Caenorhabditis elegans: one gene and its partners. The protein of the gene in region 3 purifies or fractionates together with the protein of the main gene of each other region. This does not show direct contact. Each region holds a gene or a part of one and is shown on either strand. Other genes may lie near its edges.

What was found. The genes of interacting proteins can lie anywhere in the genome.
Region 1: the proteins of mtl-2 (region 3) and ani-3 fractionate together in Caenorhabditis elegans (co-fractionation; one large-scale study listed by BioGRID). This does not show direct contact.
Region 2: the proteins of mtl-2 (region 3) and dhs-11 fractionate together in Caenorhabditis elegans (co-fractionation; one large-scale study listed by BioGRID). This does not show direct contact.

Annotation. Positions count from the first base shown.
Region 1 is NC_003283.11:19,695,989-19,703,762, forward strand, and holds the start of ani-3 (Anillin-like protein 3), read left to right. Parts: upstream 1-1,743; 5' UTR 1,744-1,794; coding exon 1,795-1,854; intron 1,855-1,912; coding exon 1,913-2,090; intron 2,091-3,025; coding exon 3,026-3,338; intron 3,339-4,154; coding exon 4,155-4,530; intron 4,531-5,093; coding exon 5,094-5,445; intron 5,446-6,056; coding exon 6,057-6,232; intron 6,233-6,744; coding exon 6,745-6,829; intron 6,830-6,918; coding exon 6,919-7,186; intron 7,187-7,638; coding exon 7,639-7,774. Other genes in the region: Y43F8C.13 (Nucleoside hydrolase), read right to left, coding at 509-869, 1,368-1,398.
Region 2 is NC_003281.10:10,640,305-10,644,650, forward strand, and holds dhs-11 ((3R)-3-hydroxyacyl-CoA dehydrogenase), read right to left. Parts: upstream 2,562-4,346; 5' UTR 2,551-2,561; coding exon 2,520-2,550; intron 2,465-2,519; coding exon 2,310-2,464; intron 2,261-2,309; coding exon 2,174-2,260; intron 1,927-2,173; coding exon 1,681-1,926; intron 798-1,680; coding exon 582-797; 3' UTR 532-581; downstream 1-531. Other genes in the region: orc-1 (Origin recognition complex subunit 1), read left to right, coding at 2,830-3,762, 3,823-3,926.
Region 3 is NC_003283.11:14,017,760-14,020,333, reverse strand, and holds mtl-2 (Metallothionein-2), read left to right. Parts: upstream 1-1,660; 5' UTR 1,661-1,714; coding exon 1,715-1,730; intron 1,731-1,787; coding exon 1,788-1,963; 3' UTR 1,964-2,064; downstream 2,065-2,574. Other genes in the region: T08G5.1 (Titin), read right to left, coding at 2-106, 153-237, 281-704, 979-1,047, 1,092-1,134. UniProt on the Caenorhabditis elegans protein: This protein binds cations of several transition elements.

The sequences.
Region 1 (7,774 bases), 5.7 Mb from region 3:
GGTACCAGGGATACTGTAGGGGTACTGTAGAAATACTGTAGGTATACAGTTATGGTACCATAGGGCTTTAGTGGAATTAGTGTAGGGTTACTGTAGGGTTACTGTGTGTGTACTGTGGGGGGAACAGTAGGGGTACTGTAACACTATTGTGTGAGTACCTGTTCGGTTACCAGAGGTACTGTAGGGTTATGTAGGGGATCTGTTGGGGTACTGTCGGGGTACTATAGGGTTACTGTAGAGTTGCTGTAGGGATACTGTAGTGTTACTGCAAGGGCACAGTGGGGAACTGTGGGGATACAGTAACACTACTGCGTGAATACTAGAGGGGAACTGTCCGGGGTACCAGGGATAGTGCAGGGGTACTGTGGGGTACTGTAGGGATAGTGCAGGGGTACTGTGGGGTACTGTAGGGATAGTGCAAGGGTACTGTAGGTCGCTGTGGGGGTACTGTAGGGGTACTGTAGGGATGCGGTGGGGGTACAGAAGGGTTACTGTAGCCTCAACTTACACCAAAGTGGCATCCCGATTCTCTCTCAAAATATCGATTAAAGCAAGTGACGCATGCTTCCCCTCCCCCTCAAAATCGGATCTTTCGACTTTCGGGAACTCCTCCGGCTTATCACCGATCCCATCGATCCCGAAAAAATCGGATACGGTATCATCCTTCGGCAGCGACAAAATCGATTTAGCCGCACCCTTGTACACTGGGATATTGCTCCGATCGTTGGCTCGGATGGTTCTTTTGATGTTCGCACAGGCTTGATCTACTGTCACACAGCCGTGGACTGCGGTGAATGCGAGAATTTCGGCTTTTGGGTGCTGCAAGGCTAGGGAGATGGCTCGCACGTCGTCGCTTACACCGTCAGAGTCTGAAAATCGATTAATTTTTGTTTTTAAAGCTTAAAATTTGGTAAACTTTATGTAAAACTTTAAAAATCGATAAAACTCGCTAAGCAAGCGCGCTCCAGTGAACTAGTCCGTTTTCCGACGCTAATTTCAAATTTTCAAGTGTTTTTTGACGAAAATAAGTGGAAAATTTGAAGACTTCTTGTTTTTTTTTAAATTAGAATTCTCGTTTATCATCTGAAAATCCGAAAAAATCGATTATTGAAGCGTCTAGACTCGTTTTTTTAAATCGCCAAGCAATGCAATCACGCTCCAATGACAAACTCAGTTTTCTGGCGGGAAGCTCGAATTTTCCAGTGTTTTAACGAAAATCTTCGGAATTAATACGTTTTCGGTGTATTTGAACGTAGAAAAGTAGAAATTTTAAAAAAGAAAAGAAAAAACTCGAGTTTTAACGAATTTTATAGAATTTTTTACTCAAAAATTGGTTTAAATTTGTTTTTATTCTCCGTTTAACTCACCAATGACCAGCTTAACCTTGTCCACAGTCATGTTGTCTTTTTTCTGAAGAGCGTAATGTTATTAAAGTGAAAAAATTAAACTTAAAATAACTAAATAAATATATGAATTATTTCTCGTCGCAAAAAACGCAACATTTGGGCAAAAATCAATCTGTCACCTGAATAATGCACACAATCTTATCATTTTTTATCAATTCTTATCGCATTTTCTTCGATTATTCTCGCTTTTTCGCCGTAATTCCGCATAAATGCGATAATTCGCGAAAAAACTACGGTTTTTCTTAAAGGCGCATAGCTCAAAACTTCAAATAGGTCTCGCCACGAATTCAGTGATGTGAGGGATTCGATGGAATTTTGAATTTTTAAAATCGATTTTTGCGATTTCTAGACGGTTTTTCGCCGTTTTTTCGGAGATTTTTGACGAAAAATGGAGAATTTCGACGGAAAATCGATGCCGCCAACTCCGGTGCCAATCGGATCAAGTCAGGTAGGGCAAAAATCCGGAAAAATCGATACAATTCACAAAAAATCCGAATTTTTTCCAGTTCTACCGCTGGATGCCGCACCCGATCGTCGATACACCACCGTCAGATGCTACGTGGCGCAAACCGGTGCCACGCGGCCGAATTCGTGATCTCGTCGCCGCGTTCGATCAGTGCTCCGGCATGCTGGAGCAGAAGCCCCCACCTCCGCCCACGCAAAGGGTTGAAAGTCTTGAAAATGGTGCGGAAATCAATCGATAATTGAGAAAATCGATAGGGGAATGCGAAAAAACTGGAAAAAAATGGGGAAAATTGAGAAAAATTGAGGAAAATGAGAAAAAAAAACCATTTCCCCCGGTATTTCTCCTATTCAAATGCAAATTTATAAATTCACATGTATTGTTAATTTATTTGCACTGTCAACACACCAACTATACAGTTTTTACATGGAAAATTGATTTTTTAGAAAAAACAATCGGAAAATCCCAAAAGTTTTGGGAAAAATCCAGAAAAAATGGGATTTTTCGCAAGTTTTCGGATGAAAATTATGGTTTAAATTGAATTTTGAGTGGAAATTTGCAAAATTGGACTTTTTCAGAGAAAATAGTTATAATTTGCAAAAAACTAATTTTTAGAAATTTTTTTTTCCAAAAATTCAAAAAAATTTTTTTTTTCAAAATTTTCATTTTAATTGGCAATTTACCATTGAGTTTCTGGTGAATTTCGAAAATTTTCTCTAAAAAATCCTGAAAAAACGGAAAAACCTCTGGAAAATTCTAAATTTCCAGCAAAACCACCAAAATTGTCGGATTTTGTGTTAAAATTCTGTAATTTTCGGTGGAAAAATCGCTAAAATTTAGAATTTTGTGATTTTAAGCTAATTTTAAGGAATATTGTGAAAAAAATTAAATTTTTTAAGAATTAAAAAAAATTTCAAAAAATTTTTTTTTTTTTCAAAAATTAAAAAAAAATTTTTTTTCGAAATATTCACTTTTTATTGGGAATTTTACGAATTTTGAGCGAATTTTAAAAAAATTCCAAAAAACGATAATTTTTTTGCAAAAAAAATTTTTTTTCGAAAAAAAAATTCAAGTTTTTCCAACTTTTCACATTTTTCTCAAAAATGATCTTCAAAATTCGAAATTTCCCGCCAAAAATAACCCATTTTTCTTCCAGAACACATTGCTCCACCGCCAACTTCAAAATCCTCCAAAATTCCGGAAATTCTCGCCAAAAAATCGGAAAAATACATCTCACCGTACGAAAAACGTCATTTTCATGGTCGTCGTGGCACCCAGGCTGTCGTTTTTAATTCGAATAATGCTCAAAATGCTCCAAATGTGGGCGGAGCCTATCCATATGGAGCCACACCGTTGAAATTGCGAAATTTGGCCCAAAAAATGGATAAAGAGGAGCTCTACGTGGCTGATGACGTTGGAATTTCCAAAAAATCTGAAAATTTCGAAAATTCCGATGATGACGTGGCAAAGTACGAAAATTTGCGGCAAAAATGCTATAAATTCGAAAAAAATTCAAATTTTGTAGCCATTTTTGACATTTTTCCTTTAAAAAAAAATCTAAAATGTCCAAAAAAAAGCCGCGAAATTCAAATTTTTAATTTTTTCCTATAAAAATCGAAAATTTGCAGAAATTTTTGAGGTTTTTGAGACAATTTTTTGAATTGCCCAACTTTTTTTTGTTAAAATATCGAATTTTAAGTAAAAAACTACCGAAAATTCGACTTTCTCGCCTAAGAAGGGGCGGAGCCGCGCAGGCCACGCCCACAAAATGGTTATTAGCGATTTTTCGGCAAAAATTGCGAAAAAATCAATTAAAAAAAATCAATTCGGATTTTCAGTCAAAAATTTTCTAATATTCGATATTCTTGCCTGAAAAGAGGGCGGAGCCTAACAGGCCACGCCCACCAAATGGACGGAGCTTATTTTCTAAATACTAAAAAAAAACAAAAATTACAGCAAAAAAAACAAATTGAAATTTCAAAATTTCAAAAAAAAAGAGGGCGGAGCCTAACAGGCCACGCCCACCAAATGGGTGGAGCTTGTTATCTAAATACTAAAAAAAAAAAAAAAATTTGCAGGAAAAAACACAAATTGACACTTCAAAATTTCAAAAAAAAAAAGGCGGAGCCTAACAGGCCACGCCCACAAAACGGTTATGAGCTATTTTCGCTCAAATTTTGTAATTTTCAGTCAAATGTTCCCTAAAAATCGATATTCTGGAGCCCACAAAATGGCGACGAGCATATTTTCGTCAAAAATCGGTAAAAAATCGATATTTTTTGCAGTTTCCAAGAGCTTCTGGTGCTGGATGAGGTGCTGGAAAATGCTGAAAATTCTGAAAATCTGGAATCCCAGCAGTACGACGAGGAGAGCACCCTAAACCGAACATTTCAAGATTCTGGAGTTCCAGAAAATCAGGAAAATCTTCTCCAGCTCCCTGAGTGCCCAAAAACGCCGAAATTCACGAGTTCGCCCACGCTTTTCACACCGTATGCCGCTGGAGAGCCCATCGTTGAATATCGATGCTCGTCGGGCTCCGCGGGGGGTCCACTCAAAATTGTTGTGAAGAAGCTTCAGGCACCGATTGCACTTGCCACTTCGACACCGAAACCCGCAATGTGTCGGCCGCCGAAACACTCGGAACCACCACCGGCTTTTCAGGTGGATTATATCTGAGATTTTTGGCGGGTTTTTCAGTGAAAAAATTGAGAAAATCCCCGTTTGGAAAAAAGATTTTTAGTGGTTTTTGTGAAAAATCGAATTTTTCTCAAAAATTTGGAAAAAAATCTATTGAAAAATCGATTTTTTTTTTCGAAAATTTCGTAAAAAATCCATTTTTTCGAAAAAAACCAATTCAAAATTTCAAAAAAAAAGGGTTTTCTCTCCAAATTGTAAAAAAATCGATTTTTCTTTGAAAATTTTCTTCGAAAAAAAAAAGTTTTATTATATTTCGTTTAAAAAAATCGATTTTTTATTGTAGAATTCCGTAAAAAAATGGAATTTTTCGAAAAAATCAGTGAATTGTTTTTTGTTTTTTAACGAAGAAATTTCTAAAAAAAAATCGTTTTTTTCGAGAAAAATTTCATTTAAAAATCGATAATTTTGAAAAATTTCGATTCAAAAAACGTTTTTTCAAAAAAATTTCTTTAAAAATCAATTTTTTGAACTAAAATTTTGTAAAATTTCGTAAAAAATCGATTTTTTTACATCAATTTTTTGCGCAGGATTCCTTCGTGAGCTCAATCAGTAACTGGTCGGCAGTAGATCATCACGCGACGGATTCGCGCCGTCAAATGAACCGCCTACTCAATTCAATCGATGAAACTCGACATCACATTTTGCTCGCCGAGCACTCACTACTTGAAGCCCAAAAATCGAAATGTCCAATGCAAGAACTCGCGTCGCAACGGGTTTTGCTAATTTGTAGAGAACGGTTGAAAGTTCAATTGGAAGAAGTTCGGAGGCTTCAGGCAATGACTGTTGTCAGGCATCCACCACCACCGATTAATCGACATTTTAAATCGACTATGGTCATTTCGAATATTTCGCTTCAGTTTAATAAGCATTTCCATAGTCGTACGTGGTTTTTGAGTCTAAATTCGAGATTTTTGGGCCAAAATTGACTAAAAATTTGAATTTCCCGCCAAAATTTGACTGAAAATTTGAATTTTTGAATTTCCCGCCAAAAATTGACTGAAAATTTGAATTTTTGAATTTCCCGCCAAAAATTGACTGAAAATTTGAATTTTTGAATTTCCCGCCAAAAATTGATCACATGTTCGGTAGAGCGCACTTCGAAATTCAGAATTAAATTAGCGCGCATTCTGCGTTTTTAGTTAAAAATTTGAAAAAATTTGTGGTTTTTTGACACAAAACTCCAAAACATTGAATTCCCGCCGAAAAAAAAAATTGATTTTCGGTGGAGCGCACTTGCTGCAAGTATGCTCTACCGAACATTGATCGGTTTTCAGCGGGAAATTCAAATTTCCAGTCAATTTTTGGTGGGAAATTCAAAAATTCAAATTTTCAGTCAATTTTTGGCGGGAAATTCCAAAATTCAAATTTCCAGTCAATTTTTGGCGGGAAATTCAAAAATTCAAATTTTCAGTCAATTTTTGGCGGGAAATTCCAAAATTCAAATTTCCAGTCAATTTTTGGCGGGAAATTCAAAATTTCTGTGTTTTCAGGCGGCTCTTACGCTTTCCTTGTGCTCCTCAAATGCCGTACAGAAGTCGAGGCAACCGGTGTCGTTACCCTTTTGGCTCAATTCCAAACTCCGCAAAATTTCATTCTTTTCGGTGAACACTTGCGTTTTTCCAATCTTCCCGTCGATTTTACCATTGGAATGGAGATTTATATGATGGTAATGCTTGACAACAGAAAATAAAAATTTTTGACTGTAGTGGGGGTCGAACCCCGGACTTCTGGGCCGTAGCCATACCTCTACCCAGTTGAGCCACTTGTACAAAAAATTTTTTTTTTTTCGAAAAGAAGTACCAAAGCTGAAAATCTGCGTAGAGTTCTAATTTTTGATTAAAACCGCTCAAAAAACATCGTAAAAAATCAGTTTTTGAAAATTTTAGCCAATAAAGTCAGTTTCAATCGGTTTTTACCAAGAAAAACATCGTAAAATGATTTAAAACTAATTAACCCACCACTGGAGAGTAGCAAAAAAAATTTTTGACCGCAGCGGGGATCGAACCCCGGACCTCTGGGCCAGAGTCTAACCTCTACCCCACTGAGCCACTGGTACACAAAAAAAAATTTTTTTCAAAAAAAAAGGCCCCCCGGCCTCAAATTTTTTACTGATTCTGAATTTTTAGGTGTCTTACCACACGAATAGATACAAATACCTCAAAAATCTGGAATTTTCAGCGAGTTCCCGAGCACCGACCACCTGAGAAGACGTGCGCCGCGTTTTTGGCACAAAAAGTGCGGAATTTGCTGGTGCCGAGCAATGGTAATTTGGAAATTTTATTTGTTTTAGGAAATAAGGATGAAATTCCAAAAAAAAAAAAAAAATTTTTTTTCAAAAATTTCAAATTCCAGCCGCTCACCGCCGCCCGACTACCTCCACGCCACAAAAATCGATACAAAATGCCACGTCACCTGCGTGTGACTTCCAACTTTGCGGAAATTTAACGTTGGACCGCGATTCGTCGGGCGATAACCGCCGCTTCTATTTGGATGACGTCATTTATCCGCTGGAGGGAACTGTGAAGCTCAATTCACACTGCACATCACTTCCTGATGCAATTGATATGGAATATCGAGGATTTCTTCATATTTTACACGATTCTGCAAGTCCTTTGGAGAGGTACTTGGAAATTGACTGAAAATTTGAATTCCCCGCCAAAAATTGACTAGAAATTTGAATTTCCCGCCGAAAAATGACTGAAAATTTACATTTTTGAATTTCCCGCCAAAAATTGACTGAAAATTTGAATTTTTGGAATTTCCCGCCAAAAATTGACTAAAAATTTGAATTTTTGAATTTCCCGCCAAAAATTGACTGAAAATTTGAATTTTTGGAATTTCCCGCCAAAAATTGACTAAAAATTTGAATTTTTGAATTTCCCGCCAAAATTTGACTGAAAATTTGAATTTTTGAATTTCCCGCCAAAAATTGACTGAAAATTTGAATTTTTGGAATTTCCCGCCAAACATTGACTGAAAATTTGAATTTTTGAATTTCCCGCCGAAAAGTGACTGAAAATTTGAATTTTTGAATTTCCCGCCGAAAAACCACCTAAAAATTCCAATTTTCAGAGCAAAAAAAGTCCCAATTTGGCACAAATACTGGTCACTTCTTCATCGCGGAGCCATTTTGTTCTGGAGCACTCCACAAGAGGAAGTTCACGAAAAAGTCCCAATTTTCCAGATTGATTTGACAAAATGCACGAAT
Region 2 (4,346 bases), on a different chromosome or scaffold from region 3:
AATGAATCCTAAAATAGCTTAATTCCAAAAGTCAATCCTTAAAGTGCATTCCCAGTTGTACTCGATATGAATCGTATACTAGAAAATATTTTTTTTGTTCAATTCCAATATCTAAAAGTGCAACTAATAAAAAAACAGTTGCTTGTTTTTTGCCGACTTCCGTATCACCCGTCTGACTGGCACGGAGCAAAAGTTCCAAATGACTATAAATCTGGAAACGTATATGTGTGTGTGTGCTTGTGTTTGCACTTTCTTCTTCTCAGACGCAGATAGTTTCTAGAAGGACCACCCGGCACGGCGAGCACTCCCGGGTTTTTTATGGGCGACGAGAGAGTATTGTGGGAGATGAGAAGGTGCTCGCGGAACCATTACATTAAATGAGATTGAGCACACGGCGAGGAGCCAACAAAAAACACACACACACACATACAAACGCCCCGAGAGGACGCTTGAGACATTCTTCCTTGCAAAAGGGCAAAAACACAAATCGTGGTAATGACTATACGAATCAGAAACACAGAAAAAAACGAAGAAGCAATTTTATTTGAAAGCTAAAAAGAGGAGTCCAAATTCTTTAAATTCTACATTCCAAGTCCTCCAGTAACTTCCAACGTGGTTCCAGTGACATATGAAGACATATCCGATGCCAGGAACAACACGGCGTTCGCGATCTCCTCAGTCTCACCGAGTCTCCGTTGTGGAACCATCGAGACCATTGCATCAAGGACCTTCGGAGGCATAGCCTCTGTCATTGGTGTTCTGATGAAGCCGGGGAGCACAGCATTCACGCGGATGTTCTGGAAAATGTTGAATTTTAGATTATTTAGAATTTTATAATATTTTACTGGGCAACTGTCCGATTGGATCTTCGTTGGTGCCGAACCGATTTAAACACCAGAAACCGATCATTGTTTTGTTTCCCAGTTTATTTTTCAAAAAGTTTCCCATGAGGAATAGTGAATTGAACATCAAAATGTTATGTCCAGTATGATAATTCAATTAAAATTCTTCTATTTAAAACGTTAATGTCCTTCATAAAGTTCATACTGTATCATCCGCAATGAACTTCGTCAACCCCCTGTTGGTAAGGATTAAGACATCTTTTATATTACTCGCAATGATATTTTCAGCTCAATACCTTCATCATGGGAATGCTTGCAACTACCTCGGCAAGCCTCGGTGACGAGTCGTGTTTTTTTTTCAAATTCATGTTTGTAGAACCGTCCGATTTTTTGGACCCTATAGCCAAAAGCTTAAGAACCATCTACAAAAGGGACCTCAACAAGTACACGCGCTGCGAAAATCGACAATGACAGTCTTATTACGGGAAAACAATACTCTGAGAATGCGTATTGCGCAACATATTTGACGCGCAAAATATCTCGTAGCGAAAACTACAGAAATTCTTCAAATGACTACTGTAGCGCTTGTGTCGATTTACGAGCTCGATATTTGAAATGAATAATTAAAATAATTTAGGATCATGGAACATCGCTGAGCCCGTAAATCGACATCAGCGCTACAGTAGTCATTAGAAGAGTTGCTGTAGTTTCCGCTACGAGATATTTTGCTCGTCAAACATGTCGTCTTGTGCCCCAGATTTTTTTTTGCAAATTGAGAAAAACAATTAAAAAATGGGTGGTTAGAACAATCTGAAAATCAATTTTTAATTGATTTTACCTTTGTGGCAAGCTCCCTGGCTGCCGATTTCGTAAAACCAATCACTCCAGATTTAGTGGCAGCGTAGTTAGTTTGGCCGAAATTTCCGATTTTTCCGACGATCGACGACACGTTTACAATGGAGAGCGGAGATCCGGCGGCCACAGATTCACGAGCAATCATCTGAGACATCAGAAAAACACTATTCAAATTGACATTCATCACATCCTGCCACTGATTCTGGCTCATTTTCAACAGGGTAGCGTCCTAAAATGTAAAAAGGTCAATTTTGCAGTGTTCTAAGATATAAAAGAGACACGGTAATTTATTTGAAACGTCAGTTTAAAGGTGCACGCCATTTCTTTGGGTCTCGCCACGATCTCAGCCATATTTGATTTTGTATATTTATAAAAACTAACTTTTAATTATTTTCCTGGCGAGACCCATCTGGAAAAACTCGTGCGCCTTTAGGCAAGAGTCCCAGAAAACTACGAAATTCCGATATTCTATTAACCTTGGTGATGCCTGCACAATTCACGAGCACAGATGGCGATTCTCCGGAAGATTTTATGAATTCTTGTAGACGAGCCACGTGTTCTGGCTGAAAACAATTTTTAAACAATTCAATTCTTGAATTTTCTCTTTCTCACATCGCTGACATCAATCTCAAAGGCCGAATGCCCATTTCCAGGAAGATTGCCTGCTGTGGCTTCTGCTGCCGATTTTTTGAGGTCTGCAACGATGAGACGGGCTCCAGAAGCTGCGAATTTCTTGCAAATTGCTTGTCCGATTCCTGATCCACCGCCTGGGATTTTTTGTAGAGTTTGCTAGTTTTTTAAATTAAAATTAGTTAAAATTACCAGTGACAATTGCCAATTTCGATGAAAGCATTGTAGATTTACCTAAAAAATGCTGAGAAGAATTTATTTTTGAAAATTTTTATTAAAAATTAAAAAATCCAAAAAATTTAGAACGAGAGACTGTGTGAGACGAAGAGACGTAGACATTCCCGGGTGGTACGGTATGCAATGTGTGCAAACACCGTCGTGTACGCAGAGAGCGCCACTTTTGAATTCGAAAGCGTTCTCCTCGATTTCGCGCATTTTCATCATTATTCTCTGGTTTTTGTCGATTTTTATTATAAAAATATCGTTCCTTCAGCTTCTCACAATGAATACTCGCAAATCTGAAACGTCAAAGACTGTATCCGCCACTCCAGTCAAGCGGAGATCGACAAGAATCACTAATCTCCCGAAATCAGCTCCTAAAATCGTAAAGCGAAGCTCCGTTCGCCTCAGAGGAGCTCCACAATGCACATATAAATCGGATTCTTCTTCGTCCTCATCATCTTCAGATTCTGATGGAGAAGATGAGTACGCCGCGACAAAAGACGAGCTGAAAGCCGTAGATCACGATAATCAAATGGAAATCGATTTTTCCGATGAAATCGGCGAGAATTTCTCAGAAGAAGATAGCTGCAGTGATAAAGAAAATAGAAGAGTTACAAGAAGCAGGACTCCGACAAGGCTTGAAGAGACTCCATCGAAGAGGCTTGCTCGGGAATTAAGTAAAGCTTCAGTGTCGAAAGTTTCCACTTCAAAAACTCTATTCAAAGAGAGTAAATCACCTCGAAAAGTTGAGATTTCAAGGAAAACAAATAAAGCTCGAGTATTTCAAGAAGAAGATGATGACGATGAAGATGATTTCAGCGATGAAATTGACGAGAAATTCTATTCGAAAACTAACAAAAGAACACCAATCACAATAAAGATCCCTTCAAAAATGATAACCCAGAAAGTAACTCCACTAGTGATCAGCAAAACGCCAGGTGGAACACTGAGAACCCGTAGAAGGGCACGCCAGAACAGTGAAGAACTCGAAGATCTTGTGGATCCACTGGATTCCCGATCGGCTTCAACTCTGAAAGAGCTGGCGAGCAGGCTTCATCTCTCAAAGGTGCCCGAGAAGCTCCCATGCCGAGATATTGAGTCTCGAGAAATTGAGAAATTCATTCGAGAAGTTATTGATCCAAAACGTGGCGAGAGCTCTGCAATGTATATTAGTGGAGTTCCAGGCACAGGGAAGACAGCCACTGTTCGAGCGGTAAAACTTAATTTTTAAATTATTTTTCCAAATTTCTGGTTTTCAAATTCTATTTTTCAGGTCGTCAACTCGATGAAAAAGAGCAAAAAGTGTCAGAAATTCGTGTACGTCGAGGTCAATGCGATGATCTTCAAAAAAACTGTATTCGTAGAGATTTACAACGGGTAAGGACGTCTCGGAAAAGTTGAAAATCGAACAATTTCCATCTAACAACTGCAGAACTCATTGGAAAATGCTCAAAATTTTGCGCGGAATCCTCCGAAATTCGAATTTTTCGAAAATTGTTGGCTAATTTCTGAGTTTTTTCATAAGTTAACGGGGAATTTTTTGTTTTAAAGCTTGGAAATGGATCAATTTGAGCATTTTTAGACAGTTTTCAGCTTAATCGCAAGTTTTTAAAGAAAATATTATGCTGAAAACTGTCAAAAAACTGCTTAAAAAGACGTATTTTCCTTGCTTTAAAAAAATTTCGACTTAAAATTATAAAAAAACGCAAAAAAGTAACTTTAAAATGTCGATAAAAAAACGAATTTCAGTGGGTTCTGCTAGTTTTTACTTTATGAAAATGATCTAAAGTAGTGAAT
Region 3 (2,574 bases):
ATCACATTATAATTTTTGGGATTCCCCGATATCTAAATGGTTGTTTTGCGGATATTGACTTTCCTTTCAGATGACTCGGTGGCACTGCTTTTACAAATCGATTTTTCTGGAAAATTTTGAATTATTTAGCCTATAAAATCCACAAAACTTACATCATCCGGATGGCACCTCCTGAATTTAAGACCATAGTTGATAGTAGGTGGAGGAATTGTTGGATAACGTGGGTCTTGATGTACTCTGAAAAATTTTAAATGGTTGTGTAATGAGTGTCAGAGCTCACCGAATTTTTCTGGAGTGATGTCTTGGACGATATGCAATGTTTCTGGGTTTTTGATGGTGCTTTATACTATTAAAGTTTCTTAATACAGTAACATCCTCGTTATTTTGAGTATTTCGAGAAGTTGAAGTATTTCTTTGCTTTCTCATTTTTCTTCTAACTATTCGCTTTGGCTGTTTCTTCACTTTTCTTTTCTTCTTATGTGTTTCCGTTGTGTAAATTGGACCAGGTAGAATAATCGGTGATTCAACTTCCCGAATAGTCATCACTTCGTAATTCATCATTCTATCGTCATCTTGTTCACGAGAATGATTGTCAAATAATCTTGGCTGCTCTGTAATAACATCTTCCTGAAGACGAGCTTCACTAAAGCGCCTTCTGACAGAATCAGGGCTTGTTGGCACAGAGTTGAATGGGGTCCAGTCGTCTGAAATTTTAAAATTGAATCACTTTTACGGGTAAGGCAGGATATCACGATAGTGTCTAAAAGGAGGAAGAATTTTTTCTTGTTTTCTGCCTGGAATTGTTTCAGGATTAAAATAGCAAGCCTCGAAGTTTGCCCGCTGGCCCGAAATAGCCTATTCATCAGTCAGCCGCAGAAGGGTTGTTTTTGGGGACCCCGCTTTACCGGTGTAGTATTATTTGACATTGGTAATTTTTTAATTACGGTTAAACATAAGTTAAACAATAAAATTACAAACCTGCACAAAGAGTTCCTGGGCCACATAATGTTTCATCAATATCACTTCCCCAGGCGCTATGTCTATCTTCTGAAATCTCAGTTTTCTTTTCTAAATTAAATAATATTTCAAACCTTCTACATGTTCTGGAGCGGTTCTGGAACTTTTTTGTCCCATAGAGAATACAAAAAGAGACGAAAATGGTTCAGTGGAACGAAACAAACGTGGGATGTAACCATGGAAGTGAGAATAATTGATGGAATAGCTAATGAGCTGAAGCTGAGTAGATCAGAGACTACTTTATTCTAAAAAGTACAGTAGTTGGAAAATTACATGTTTCATTTCTAATTTTCAAGGAAAAGCTAGTAATTACCGTAATCTTGTTTGTACCTGAAATTTTATGTACTGCAGGTGACCAAGTATGTTTGAGGCATGACTTCACACACCTAACTGATAAAGGCCTCTATCACAAACTAGAGTTGTGACGGAAAATTCAACTTCTCAGAATATAGCTCAAAATCTATCAAATTTTATTTTCAAAAATCCAAATAATTGTGCACGCAATGTACTTACTGCTTCATAAAGTTCAGAAGAATTGGATAAATTTGAATGAAGTTTTCAAAGCTTTTATCAGTGACTGTACATTGTGATAGGCTTGTGCTGTTATCAGCTGCCTCAAATAGGTTGTCGCTTGAAAATTTATATAAAAGGCCTACCAGCAGACATGAGAATCAAGCTTCAAAGGCTCTACTCAAAAATGGTCTGCAAGTGTGGTAAGTTGAAATTTCATTACGCTTTTAATTAATTTTGAATGAAACCCCCTTTCCCAGACTGCAAAAACCAAAATTGTTCCTGCAACACCGGAACTAAAGATTGCGATTGCTCCGACGCCAAGTGCTGTGAGCAATACTGCTGCCCAACTGCCAGTGAGAAGAAATGCTGCAAATCTGGATGTGCCGGAGGATGCAAGTGTGCCAACTGCGAATGTGCTCAGGCTGCTCATTAATTTGAAATTAATACTCTTCCCTTTGAAACAAATTCCTACTAATTGATATTGTTCGAGGTTTTTTCTTGAAAGCTGAAATAAATGTTAAATATTTATTGTAATTTCTTAGATTTTTAAACTGTCTTCCTTGTCAACGACCAGAAGCAAAAATTATGGGAATCGCGATAAAATTCAAGGAAAACTTTTGATCATCACTTTTGATCTTCACACGATTTGTTCCTTTTCAAGTAAAATATAAATCTTTTTCCGAACAGACTGAATCCATTATCAATTTTATAGACAGTGGAAAACATTTATCAAGTTAAGACAATTTTGAAAATTACGAAAAATCATTTGACCCAAATGGGTCAGGTGTTATTTCTTAATTCAAAAGATCTCAGAACCAGGAAAAAACATTTTTGTGTGGTTTGTTTTCAGCTGCTTTTCACTTAATAAATCAATTAATGCATCAACCAAATTGTTAAAAACTACAAATAGTGCGACTGAAAATTTAAAAATTGTGCCCAAACTTTTAATGAGGTTATCAATTTTCAATATCTCGAACATTTGGAAATTTTTGGAATTTTTTTGTTGGAAATTTGCTTAAAGTATTTACTAACTTTTGATCTCAT